2 linked regions of the Arabidopsis thaliana genome follow. The protein of the gene in region 1 interacts with the protein of each later gene in a pairwise test. Each region holds a gene or a part of one and is shown in the gene's direction. Other genes may lie near its edges.

What was found.
Region 2: the proteins of AT1G66760 (region 1) and AT1G76185 interact in a protein complementation assay, tested with the Arabidopsis thaliana proteins (one large-scale study listed by BioGRID).

The regions. Positions count from the first base shown.
Region 1 is NC_003070.9:24,898,477-24,907,169, forward strand, and holds AT1G66760 (MATE efflux family protein), read left to right. Parts: upstream 1-3,405; 5' UTR 3,406-3,633; coding exon 3,634-3,882; exon of another isoform or gene 3,883-3,960; coding exon 3,961-4,505; intron 4,506-4,701; coding exon 4,702-4,788; intron 4,789-4,874; coding exon 4,875-4,931; intron 4,932-5,024; coding exon 5,025-5,263; coding exon of another isoform or gene 5,264-5,268; exon of another isoform or gene 5,269-5,354; coding exon 5,355-5,560; coding exon of another isoform or gene 5,561-5,578; exon of another isoform or gene 5,579-5,671; coding exon 5,672-5,737; 3' UTR 5,738-5,967; downstream 5,968-8,693. Other genes in the region: SWEET6 (Nodulin MtN3 family protein), read right to left, coding at 7,975-8,693.
Region 2 is NC_003070.9:28,588,523-28,594,007, forward strand, and holds AT1G76185 (NADH-ubiquinone oxidoreductase chain), read left to right. Parts: upstream 1-1,802; 5' UTR 1,803-1,974; coding exon 1,975-2,087; intron 2,088-2,427; coding exon 2,428-2,635; 3' UTR 2,636-3,009; downstream 3,010-5,485. Other genes in the region: AT1G76190 (SAUR-like auxin-responsive protein family), read left to right, coding at 3,703-4,074; AT1G76200 (NADH dehydrogenase ubiquinone 1 beta subcomplex subunit), read left to right, coding at 4,829-4,935, 5,252-5,297, 5,402-5,458.

The DNA.
Region 1 (8,693 bases):
AAACAATCTCTATTTGGTGCGGTTTGGTTTTTGAAGTTATGATTCTTTTGACTCACTCTTACGATCAGGAACTCACAGTTTGGACTTTGGACATAGACCGTGACCGGCCCATGAGAGACACGAGTTAAACTTTGAATTTAGAAGAAAAGAGTATTAAAAAAATGACCTTTGTGGTTACCCCACTGCAAAACGACCTCACTCAGATGAGGGCTAACAAATTGGAATTGGAGGCAGCAATTATGCCACTTGGCTAAGTAGTTGAGGCAGTGACGCGGCGATATTATCCATGTATATAATGTGTGAAGCCAAAAACGATTGTAACATTTTTCTCTGATCTTAGGTATTAATACGAGAATTCAATTTTTTCCGACAATTTGTTGAAAGCTTTCTCTGTCAACAATAAAATGAACGTGCATTAAATACCAAGGTTGGCTCTATCTAAGAAGCCAATTCGGTTAACCAAAGTATTTCTAGAGGGTTACCTAAATTAACCAAAAGAAATCCGGGTTCGGTTTTGGTTAGTGTAAAACTATTTGTTTTTGTACATTTTCTCATGAAATTGCTTATTAGTACCATATCTCCGTACCAATTTTTTTTTTTATTATTACTTTAAGAGTCTCACTAAGCAATTACCCATGAGATAACATGGTGTACCGCAATAATACAACGTTACCTATGAAACTTCGAGTAGTTAGAAAGTTTTGACAACACCTTTAATTTGATTTGAAGCATGCAATCACCAAATCTCTAGTAACTACTGTTCAAAGGTTGCTTATAGTGTGGCCGAGAGGTATGCCATCATCGACTTCACTATTCTTCGCGGAAACAACTCTTTTGCGATAGATCTCAACTTCACCAATCGGATCTCTTTCATCGATTAGATTGATAAAGTTATTCCATGTCAAAGGAAAAAAACAAAGAGATAGTTGGATTATCAAGATGCATGAAGTATGTGGAGTGCTTTTTTAAACCAAGTGAACGTAAATATGAATTTGTATACATAATACATGTGATTAGAGTTAGTTTAACATAAGTAAAAAAGAAAGTTGAAACTATCAAAATGCTCTGTGTAAGTATTAATTATTTCTTCCAACACACGATGTCAGAAGTCAGAACCGATTATTAATACTTTTCTCAACAACTTCTGTTTCTTTATTTATTTTTGATAACTTCGACGAGGATAAGTAAGAAAATGGCTTCCTCTTTTTCAGTGTGTATAATGCAGTTCTTGACTGGACTACTCTCAATTGGATATCACGGATTGTGAATACATATTCTCGGTTATAACTTTTAACTTTATAAGTTATACTTTTATTTAGTTTCACAATAAGTGTGGTTTAATTCTTACAAGTTTGTATCAAAATAGGTATTGTTTTATATTTTGAATGTAGTTACAGTATTTGGTGAAATTGCAATTCTATTCTTACTATTTTAATGTATTGACCAATAAAAAAAAGTTGTATAATATATTAATAAGAGATAAACAAAAAAAATGTTTTTACTATATGTGAAGAACCTGTAAATGACATTGTGAATACATATATTCTCGGTTATAACTTTTAACTTTATAAGTTATACATTTCTTTCTTTTCACAATAAGTGTCGTTTTAGTGTTAAAATTTTATTTCAAAATAAGTATTGTTATTATTTTTAGTGTAGATATTTGGTAAATATTCAATTTTAATGTATTGACCAATTATAAAAAATTGTATAATATATTAATAAGCGATAGACAAAAAAATCTAATTGTTTTTTTACTATATGTGAAGAACCTGTAAATGACATTTATACTAAAACGTAAAAAGTATGTATGATATATTGAATCAAAAATAATACTAGTAATCAGTAGTTAAGTTACATCTATTTTGTTAACGAAATAGTAAAAAAAAATGTCATTAAGAGACGGATTTATTATTGATATCAAGTAGAGCAAAATTTGTTTGTTTAGAAACACAAACAAAATCTTAACTTTGGCGGTTTAGTCTGACTAATTTCAAATTTATGTTGTGGAGTATATAAAGTCGATAGTACTTTTTAACAATGATTTTGAAAACTAAAACTTTATGTTATTGGAGTATTATCATGGATTGGAGTTTTTGTCAATGAATTAACATGGAGATGTGGATTAGGTTAGGTTCATCGAGATATGTATTTAAAGTTGAAACATGTGTTTTATTATTATTCTTTTCATTTATTTATTTTTTTCTTTCTGTCGGTCAGTATTGAAACATGTGTTTAGTTTCATTTGTCCTCTCAGGCCTCAGCATGTCTAGTCTAGGAGTATTCTTTATGTTTCAAAATATAAGAGGTTTTAGTTAAATATGCAGATTAAGAAATATCCATTTTTAAAAAAATTCAACCATTCATAAAAATATCATATAATATAAATAATTATAAAATATTAAATTAATCTATAGTTATGTTACACAATTTACATAAATCACGCTGTCATGAGTAGTCTTTTTCATATATCATCTATTGACAAAATAACAATTTATCTTGTTGTTCTTTTGAAAACTAGCTATTACTACATATATTATACATTTTTTTTCTCATAAGTGGTTTAACGCTGACAAAAAAAATCTATTGTAAGATGGTAACCACTGAAAGCCATCTTAGGTTCAATACTTAAATAAATGATATGATATTAAAAATATTGATCATGGACCGATGTTTATCGATTTGAGCCAATGCAATCAATACGAAGAGAGACTTTTATTCCTTATTCTTTAGAAATGTATATCTCATTTTATGACTAATTAAATAATAACTGATGATCAGTATGTGGTTCTATACATTTAAAAATCTTCTAATTCAGTTTTTTTTTTTTTTTTGGTATCGATGTTAAGTATTTATACCGTTTTCAAGTTTGAGACAGAATACAGAGTAAACAATAGAAGCAAAAAAAAAAAAAAAAAAAAAAAAAGGGAGAAAGACTACGACTAAAGGAACTACGAATACAAGAGATAACACGATAAGAAACACAAAGCGAAGCAACTAGTAAAGGCTTGAAGAGGAAACACCGATTCTAATTCAGTTTTCATATCTGTTTGATACTCTTAAGGTATTATATTGTTCTGTGTTCCAGTTCTATCTCATGCTAATCAAAAATATTGTTAATACCACTCTTGCCTTTTTCAAGAACCGACATGATTTTTAAGTTTTAACCACAAATGTATTTGATTGGTAAAAGGTTCTAAAAAGTTTCAACAACTCACAAAGCCTTAAAACTGAACCATTCATGTTTTACTTTTCTTTTTAAGGCTATACAACCAAAACAAACTTTATGTTGTCTAATTAATTTCTCTGGCATAAAAAAAAAAAAAGACTCCACAACTAAAATCTTTTAAGTACAAACTACAAATAGGAACCAATTATTAGTTACTAGTTAGGATGCATCTTCTTCTTACACGTGCTGAATTCTATCTTTTGACTTAAATGAGTGAGATGATAAAAGTCGAAAACGATTTCGCTTTTATACGCGGAAGCGGAAACGTGTTTATTTTCTTTTCTTCGAGTCGCGACGTCGCATATATTATTTATCAAAATACAAATTTTATTATATCAAAATCATAAAGCTAAATAAATACGACACAACTTCCAACATTTTCTCTAACCAGAAAGAAAAAAAAAATGAAGAAGAGTATCGAAACTCCGTTATTGTTGAACACCAAACAATCACAAGACGAAGATAAAGAAAAAATAAGATGGGAGAAGATGAAGAAAGTTGCTTCAATGGCTGCTCCAATGGTCGCCGTGAACATGTCTCAATACCTTCTTCAAGCAACTTCTACAATGATCGTCGGTCACCGGAGCGAACTCGCTCTCGCCGGAATCGCTCTAGGAAGCTCCTTTGCTAATGTTACCGGCTTTGGTGTTCTTGTAAGCAAGTATATGAACCTTTATATATATATATGTATTGGATTAATTTGTTTCTAATTATTGTTGTATACTATATAGTTTGGACTTTCAGGTTCATTGGAAACACTATGTGGTCAAGCATATGGAGCAAAACAATATCACAAGCTTGGATCTTACACTTTCACTTCAATAGTTTTCCTTTTGATTATCTCTGTTCCGATTTCGATTCTTTGGATGTTCATGAACCAGATCTTGCTGTTGCTTCATCAAGATCCTCAAATAGCAGAGTTAGCTGGTGTGTACTGTCTCTGGCTGGTACCAGCTTTATTCGGTTACTCTGTTCTCGAGTCGTTGGTTCGATATTTTCAGTCACAAAGCTTGATTTATCCAATGGTCTTGAGCTCTCTAGCTGCTCTGTCTTTCCATGTTCCTCTCTGTTGGCTAATGGTTCATAAATTTGATTTTGGAGCCAAAGGAGCGGCTGCGTCTATCGGTATCTCTTACTGGCTCAACGCGGTTTTTCTTTGGGTTTATATGAAACGCTCTAGTCGTTGTGTCGAAACGCGGATTTATATGTCCAAGGATGTTTTTGTTCATACAAATATCTTCTTTCAATTTGCCATTCCTTCTGCAATGATGTGTTGGTAAGTATGTACAACTTTATTAAAAATCCATATAGAATTAACCAAGTGATGGTAGTCTAGTGGTGGTCATTGTTTTGTGGATAGGTGAAAGATTTAAAATCTTAGGTTACATAAATAAATGTGTAATGGATTTTTTTTCCCTTCACTAATATTCTATTGACACTTATTTTCTTATTGCTCTTGCTTCCTTCAATAGCCTTGAGTGGTTAGCTTTCGAGGTCATTACTTTGCTGTCTGGTCTTCTACCCAACTCAAAGCTCGAAACATCGGTTATTTCGATTTGGTAATGTATCGAACCGCAAAACTATATAATCTGTGATACTTATATTTTCTTTCATTTTCTAAGCCTTAATTTTTGGGATTGAGCAGCCTCACGACCTCTTCATTGCATTACAATCTAGTAAATGGAATTGGTGATGCAGCAAGGTTTGTTCTTACTTTAATACTCTTACATCGAATTTTCACTTCATTTTATTTTCGAAGAATTAATGTTTCATTTTTTTTTGTTTCGTTGGTTAGCACCAATGTGGCTAATGAGCTAGGAGCTGGGAATCCGCGAGGGGCTCGTGATTCTGCTGCGGCTGCAATCATAATTGCAGCTGTTGAGTCAGTTATTGTGAGCTCTAGTCTGTTCTTGTCTCGCAGTGTGTGGCCTTATGCATATAGCAATGTGGAGGAAGTAATTAGTTATGTGACTGATATCACTCCTATTCTTTGTATCTCAATCCTCATGGACAGCTTCTTGACCGTCCTCTCCGGTTAGCCTTTCTTAACACGCATCTCCGGTTTTGCAACCATGTTATTATTTTTTTGTGAACGTGAACCGAATATATGTTTTGTTTTGTTTAGGGATTGTGAGAGGAACAGGGTGGCAAAAAATTGGAGCTTATGTGAACATAACCTCTTATTATGTCATTGGTATTCCTGTTGGACTTCTATTGTGTTTTCATCTTCACTTCAATGGGAAAGGACTTTGGGCTGGTTTAGTCACAGGATCAACATTACAAACTCTAATCCTATTTCTTGTTATTGGATTTACCAATTGGAGCAAAGAGGTGATTGTAACCGCGTAACTCGCTTTTTTCTGTTTCTAATCCATCATTCGATTTTTCGAGAAATCGAGCTAATATTTGTTTACACATTTTTTCTTCAATGAAATTTTGCAGGCAATTAAGGCTAGGGAGAGAATTGGTGATGAGAAAGTTTGGAGACATGACTCATTGCTTAATTGAAGAAAAAAAGAAATACAAACTTTTGGGGGATTTTGATTGCTTCTTTTTTTGTGTGTGTTTGTGCAATAACCTTCAGTTGATTGTAATTTATATTGAAAGTACATTATAGTCTTTCATATGATATTAGAGTGTAAGAAAGTTTGAAAATATATCTCAGTTAAAAAATGATCTGGTATATAATAGATGAATTAAAGAGTGACCAAAGTTGATTGGTTCAAGCTTAAAACTTCTATACTATAAAGTCTATAATACAACTTTACGTGGCCAAAAAACAAATAATGAACCAAAGAGAGAGTATCTTGAAAGGATATACTCAAAGAATTAAAGAAGTCAAAAAGCAAATTTGAATACTTTCTCCGACAAGAGATGCTCATAAGAGTCAAGGTGAGTAGGTAATTGTTATGGCAGAAAACACGTGGAAGCAACGACACGTCATACATAATATTGAAGATTAACAAAAAGTTAAATTAAATCAACATCAATCCAAGAAACAAAAATGTATGGACTTGCAAAATCAGTTATACAATGAGGTGAATCCAGCCTCGCAGAAGTCCATGTTCAAGTCCAGTTTTGCACCAATATAGTATATTGGTTTCATGGACGTAAGAGTCTTGTCAAATGAATCCAGCCGCGCATCAGTCCATGTTCAAGTCCAGTTTTGCACCAGTAAATTGGTTTCACGAACGTGAGAGTCTTGTTAAATGAATCTAGCCTCGCTTCAGTCCATGTTCAAGTTCAGTTTTGCATCAAGATATTGATTTCATGAACGTAAGAGTCTTGTCATGGAACTCCTAACAATAAATAGATTGACCCATATCATTTTTATATTACGTTCTCGGTTACATCACACTTTTAATGTTGGATTCCTGATACGCCTGCTCAAGAGGAGGGGTTTTCAATTATATTTCAATTGAACCTCATTCTAAAACTAGCAATAAACCCAACTTGGTATTGAAACTTAAATTTTGGGATGTTACGTTGGACATTTTTCCGAAAACTAATTTTCGGCAAATTTGTCACTCGAAACTACATTGAGAACGTTGGATTCATCTAATCTACAAGCACTATCTTTGTAGTTTGTAGATTGTAGTGTATACTCAAACGTAAAATTTGAGGTTTGTTTCTGAGTGAGAAATGGATATCCAAAGTTGGGTATATGAAATACACAAAATGGATAAAGTGGTTTTTGTACATATTGGAAGTTGGAGAAAAAAATCTGCTAGTATATAAGGTGAAGGTTTCATGTCCAAGGCTTGTGGCCTTCTTTATTTTTTTTTTGCTTTTTCTTTTTTCAAAAGGCTTGTGGCCTTGTGTCACCATATTTGTGTAAGTAGGGGAAGGAGCTAATTCTCTTGATGCTTGGACGGGTGGGTTAGGTTGGGTCATTAGATGGGCTTGGGACTAAATTTTCTTTACTTAGATTCATTTTGTATTTGCTTCTCTCAATCTGAACTTTTTATATTTAACTTCTCAATCCTTATGGAGAGCTTCTTGACTGCACTCTCCGGTAGCCTTTCTTAACCATCCTCTCCGGTTTAGGAGCCATGTTTTTAATTTTCTTGGCCATGAACAATATGCCTCATTGTGTTTAGGTAGTGTGAGAAAATTGGAGCTTATGTGAACAAAACTTCTTATTATTTCAGTGGTATTCCCTATTGGACTACTTTTGTTTTTTTCATCTTTCCACTTACACTTTAATGGGAATGGGCTATGGGCTGATTTAGTCTCATGTTCAACACTACAAGCCCTAATCCTAATTCTTGTTATGAAATTCACCAAAATATTTGGACCAAAGAGCTGATCAAACCAAGTTTGTATCTGTTTCTAATCCTTTACTCGGTTCTAGGGAAATCGAGTTAATATTTGTTTCTATTTATTTGGGAAACTTTTCAGGCAATCAAGTCTAGGGAGAGAATTCTTGTTGATAAATTTTGGATAAATGACTCATTGATTAATTGAAGAATAAGTACAAACTATGGGTTAACATTAGTTGCATTTTTAGTGAATTTGTTCAAGAAACATCAACGACTTTTTCTCAATTTTCACTCTTGAAGAAATGGTCCTCAAACAAAAAAAAATGACCAAAGAGAGAAGTCATATTTTTAAAAGAGTCTACGGCTTCTGAGAACTATGGACAACGAAATTTGACTTATTCGCATATTACAGTCCTAAAAATATAAAAAAAATCCTAGATGATTATATAATAAACTTACAGTGAATAACATGAAAAGACCAAATCAAACGCCGCTAACTCTTTTGTTTAAATATGGGATGTTCTCGGGTTCAGTTTGAGCGATCGCATTGGATAATCCGACTTCACCAACGTAACCGAGTCGGTTCTTCCTTTCCTCCATTATCCCTTTGGTAGATTTGTAGTAGGTACCATACAATATTAACTGTACTAGTCCAAAAACACACCCAATCCCATTTGGTATAGCCAGGAATGGATCAAAAGGCACAAAGCCATAAATTGTCCAAACACCTGCGTTTAGAAAACCAACTACCGATAACAAAAACGGCATGAACTCCAAACTTTTTGTTTTTATTACCATTTTCATGACAGACAATGGAGAAGCATACATCATAGCGTTGAAAACGCAAGATACAATCCCAACGCTTATCGTCCGTTGATCGGTAGTGTGTTCGAGAGTTAAGACCAAAACCGCAAGGGTAGCCACAAACACAACTTGAACGGTTAAAACAGCGGATATTACCAACCGATGTTGTTGACGACCACAAAATACAAAAAAGATTGTAAGGAAAACGATTTCGATCGTGATTCCTATACCGCTTATTGTAACGAGCAAGGTGCTATCAGGATGAACCATAGGAAGTCCATAAAGAGCACGAACCAAACAGTTTAGGAGAGTCGCTAAATATGGCAATGGTGAGTATTTTTCCACTGACTTCTTTTTCACTATGTGTATAAACGTTGGCGTTGGCGATAGAAACAAAC
Region 2 (5,485 bases), 3.7 Mb from region 1:
ACGACGGAGCTCATAGTCAGAAATGGAACGTCGGATGTAGACAAAGAAAAGAGTCAGAGAGAAATTTAGATTAATCAATTACATCTTAAAACGTGTCAATATAACATGGGAAGTTGTCCTTTTGTAGGACCCAATAGTATGTACTGATTGGCGTAAAAGACGTGATGTCGGTTACGTGGGTCCACTTGACTTATTGACTAGTGCCACGCTGGAACAAGCTTGTTCGAGAAGAAATGATGATTTTTTAGAAATTTATAACGTTCCTTATTTTTTCTTTCTTCTATTCTATGCGTTACAAAATACAAACAAACCAATAAGAACTTGGTTATTTAATTCTTATCACGCTATGAATCCTCAACGATTAGGTGTTATTTTAACTTATTATTCACTAAACATGTTGAAGAGGCCAATCTAGTAACGCATGATCTTTGAAATTGTAAATACATGATCTTGGATACTCTAAACAAAAAAAAAAACAAATCCAACAAGTAATATAAGTCCGATTGGCTCAATCGATTAGGAAGGTGTTGTTGCAATGCTACCGGATCTCATTTTTAGTCCTAATGCTACAATAAGACGGGTAATTTGCGCTTGTGAATCCGCCAAAAGTATTATCAAAGAAATGATCGTGGACATAAACAAACTAAAACTAAAGATTTAGATTTTAGAACGAATAGAAAGTTAGCATCATCTTTTGTTTACCATTTTTGGGGCACATAAAACAATCTTTCGTAATCTCGTTTATGGGAAAAGGGTTTGTGTATGTATTTTTTCAACGTAAATGGTTATGTTTTCATGCAGTTTTTAAAGATAAACTTAGATGTAGATAATGAAATCATGAGTAGACAAATGAGCATAAGATGACTTGGATTTCTTATGAATTAATATGTTAATGTGTGGGATGTCATTTTCGACCTATTGAAAAAGATATACTAAAAATATTAATGAAGGACAGATGGTAATCGGTAAATGCATCATCTCTTAAAATTCGCCTAAAATAAAAAAAATGAACCGACGTGCCACATCAGTAATCTCTGGTCTCTAAATTTAACAAAGACGTAGCACGAACCGTGACGTATCAACACACATATCAAACAAACCTATCTTTTTCAATACTAACTTATTCGTCTTTTTGGTTCTTGTTGTCATATACACCGAAGCTCAGCTCTTAACTTATTCTTTGGATAATGTTTTCGGTGATAGCGAACCGACAAATTGTAGCCGACACTTAGAATTCACAACTAAACTATAGATTTTAAAATAATATTAATTAATTCGAAAGTTTGAGATATCTGAACAAAGTTTTCTGAAAAACGTAGAATACATATGGATCAAATACTATAATTCGAAAGTTTCAGATTAGTGCTAAGTAATGAACGTCATGCGTTTGTTCTTCTGTCGATTTCTTCTTTTTCACCGCCCGTCTGAGTTTTATGGGCGTGATATTTTCCTTATTGTGGTCAAATCAGGAATATTCAACAATATTTAGCACTCGCTTTACTTGGTGGGACATGAGAATCAATCGATGCATCGCTGTTTTATTTCTTTTTCTTTGATGTTTCTATTTCTGTTAGAACAAAGTTTTCATGATTCTTAAAAGCCCAAATTTCATGGCATCGGAACAAAGTTTTCATATATGATGACAACTCAAAACAAAAGAGTAACGGTAAAAGCCCAATACCCATAAAATGGGCTTAAGAATCCAGATCGGATCTATAACCCGACCCGGTTGTTGACACCGAGAGAGTCCACGCAACGTTCGCCGAATTCCTAACGAATCGGACACCGTTTCGTCGCTGTAAAATTTTGATGCGAAATTTTCCAATTCACAGATTTTGTTTTTCCATTGTTTTGGATTTCTAGATTCTAGTTATATGTTGGTGATAGATTTTTCCTACATCTCGTGATTCTCAAACGCTTCTTGAGCTCTTCGTCGAATCGGGACTGTGATCGGGACTTGGTGGAGAAGAAGCGATGATAACAAGATCGAATCTAGCAGAACAGCTCAGGGAATATCAGATTAGATCAAAGCATGATTGGGCCTCCGTTTCTTTCTTCTCTTCCACCTCCAATTTCTCTTCCTCCAGGTTAGAGATCTCCGGCTTATCCTTTCCTTTTTAATCTGCTGTGATTTGGAGCTGCGTGCTTAGAGTTGTATTTGAAAAATTGTACTTTGTGATATTTAATTCAATTGGAACCGTAAATTTCTCATCTTTTAAGGGATTGTCGTTGAACATTGGATATCTATGTGAATCCTACACAAGGAACTATAATTTTGACTTGTCCACGTTGAACCATCTTTGACAATTTGACATACACTTTTCATTCTTATCGACTCTGTTGCAATCTGGATTCTATTGTTAAATTTTGACAATGAACATTCTATAGTGGTACTTATGCTATTCGTTTCGTTTGCTTTTGATTCAGGGTTGATGTTGTAGTCTTTGTCATATGGGAACTAGTGATGTTAGCACTCGTGGTGTTTTCAGCTGTATCCTTGTACTTCAGGCGGTTGCAACTTGCTTTTATCCTGCTTTGTGTCACCTTACTATTACTCCTCTGTATGAAAATCACAAAGCAAGTGAGACATGCTAGGAAGAAGAAGCGAAGGATGCTTCTTCCTCTCTCTATGTAAAGACCGAAACCATTGAGCTGTTGCGAACCGTTTATCTTCTCACACAACCAAACCACAACTCTTCTCTGGCATGAGTTTTGTGCCCATATGCATTGATGAAGATGACAGCTAAGCTCAGACTGACTCTGGGACGCATCGCTTTTGTCCTTTGAAGAATCGACCTGAACTTGAGATATGAAACCAGGGACTGCAATTTCAAGGCTTAGCTTAGACAAATCAGAACAAAAGTGCTGTAAAGGTTGTTTTCCTGTATAAAGTAGTATGGGAGGTTGCTTTATTTTTCCTAGGCACGATCACGGATTGTTAACTTGAGCGTTTTGTGATTAAAGATAGTTTTTCCATCTATCTATGTTACACTTAATATCATGATGAAGTGATTTAGATTTGTTGGCTGTAAAAAGTTTTTAAAAAATGATTTGCAGGATTTTCATGTGACGAGAAAAAGAAAAACAACGAACACTCATGAAAGTAGAAGAGAGAACTATAAAATGAAAAGTAGCAAGCAACTTGCTCGAAACGCTCACATGTTTCTATCATTACCTTTGCGCTCTGCAACTACTTTAGTATCTTGTTAAAGAAAAAGTGGTAATAGTTAGTATTATTTGTAATGTTATGGTCTGTCAATACACTAGCTTAGCTTGATTTGATTAACTTAATTTCCAAATAATGAGATACTGTCTACATGGTGATATAGCTTTGTCAAAGTTCATTAATGACAATGACAAAAACAAGTGTGTTAGTAACCAAGATAATTGCATTTAGTCGTAATTCATGTTTTGAAACGGAAATAATTAGAAAGATCGAAAATCTCTAGATATTTGTAGAAGGTCAGTACATAACTCCACGAGTGGTCGTGATCCAATTTGTGGACAAATTTGAAAAGCAACTAAAAACAATCAAATAAGCACGAACATCCTTTTCCCTCCACACACATCAAAATCCACAGTTTGGTCCATATATTGCTATATATATAGAGAAGCAGTTAGGCATTTAATTAAGGTTGCATACAGACAGATACATACGCAACGAAACTATCAAAGCCGAAGTAACACACACACAAAAATCATATGAAGAAACTAAATTCTAAAGGGATTAGACTCTCCGAATTGATGGAGAAATGGAGAAGAAGGAAGAAAGGGCACTTCGCTGTGTACACGAACGAAGGGAAGAGATTCGTTTTACCATTGGATTATCTGAATCATCCGATGTTACAGGTGCTATTGCAAATGGCTGAGGATGAGTTTGGGACTACCATTGATGGTCCTTTAAAAGTTCCTTGCGATGGAAGTTTAATGGATCACATCATCATGCTTGTGAGAAGGAGCATGTCCCATGATTATGATGATGTGGAGAAGTCTTCCACGAGCAGCACCTGCAAGGGAGCTTCAATCTCTTCTCTCTTTCGTGGACAGAGCCAGCTTCAGTCATTAGTTTCCTAACCATTTGGAGTAATTGTTAACTTTTTTTGGAGAAGGGTTGTTCTATTTTGTGTATACCAACATGATCTTGTAATAAATTAATTATTGTAATGTATCAATGATACAGTATCATCATTTGATTTTGAGTCTTTTTTTGACGGTTAAAACAACGATTTGGGACGAAGTTATAGGCCCTGAATGGATGCTGATTTTGGATTCAGTTTTTGAATTTAGATTTTAGTTTATAGATTTTAGATTTTAGTTTCAGATTTTTATTATTATATTTTTGTTTCAAAAACCCCAAAAAATTGGTTTTTGGTTTTTGAGAAAAATAACGTTGATTGAGTAAAAACTAGATTTCCTAAATTTTAGGAGAACTAAAAAACTAAAATCATGAATGGAAAACTACAAGAAAATAATTTTTCTAAATTGTAGGGAAACCAAAATTTTAAAATCTTGATTGGTATGAAAATAAGTTTTTGGAAAACAAAAACCAAAAACTCTTACAAAATCTACAAAACATTCAATTCATGTATCCAAACTTCTTAAAGGGCCCAAAAAGGAAGAAAACATTGTGAAAGAAACAGATATAGAAATGGGCCTTTGGTCTTTAAATTGGGCCTAAGCCTTTTAATTGAGGCCTTACTAAAAGTGACGACTCACATGGTTGAATCAAATCTCAGGTAGTAAATTGTCAAAGCTGAGGAGAAAGAAAGCTTTTTCGGTCTGAAATTGAAGTGCGAATCGGGGAATCTAGGGTTTCGAGAGAGAGATAATGGGTGGAGGAGGACATGGCGGAGGTATAACTTACAAGGGAGTCACTGTCCACACTCCCAAGACTTGGCACACCGTCACCGGAAAAGGCTTGTGCGCCGTTATGTGGTACATTTCTGATTTCTCTCTTTCACCTAATTCGCTTTTGATTTTGGGACCTAGCTAATCTCGATCGTAGCTAGATCTCGCCATGGGGATTTTGGGCTAATTGATCATCTGAGGAATTTTGTATATAGAATCCATTTGAATCAAAAAATTGGATTTGTCAAATTAGTATCGGAGCTAATCAGGTAGATGTTAATTTGAATCAGATATTGCTTATGTCAATTTCAGTTCGATGAGAATGGTTGAAGAAGTAATCGCACATAGGTTTTAACTTTCCCTAGCATTCACATCTTAAAAACTCAATTTTTGGTATTTTCAGGTTCTGGATTCTGTACAGGGCAAAGCAAGATGGTCCTGTAGTTATGGTAAAACTCTTTCATTTTTTATCTTTGTCTCGCTTTTGTAAATTTTATTGGTCCTAATATCTTTCGTGGTGGCTGAATCTGATCTTGCTATTGGCAATGGATAGGGATGGAGGCACCCTTGGGATGGTCATGGTGATCACGGTCACGGAGATCATCACTAGGTAATGTCTTTACTAGTAGTATTGTCG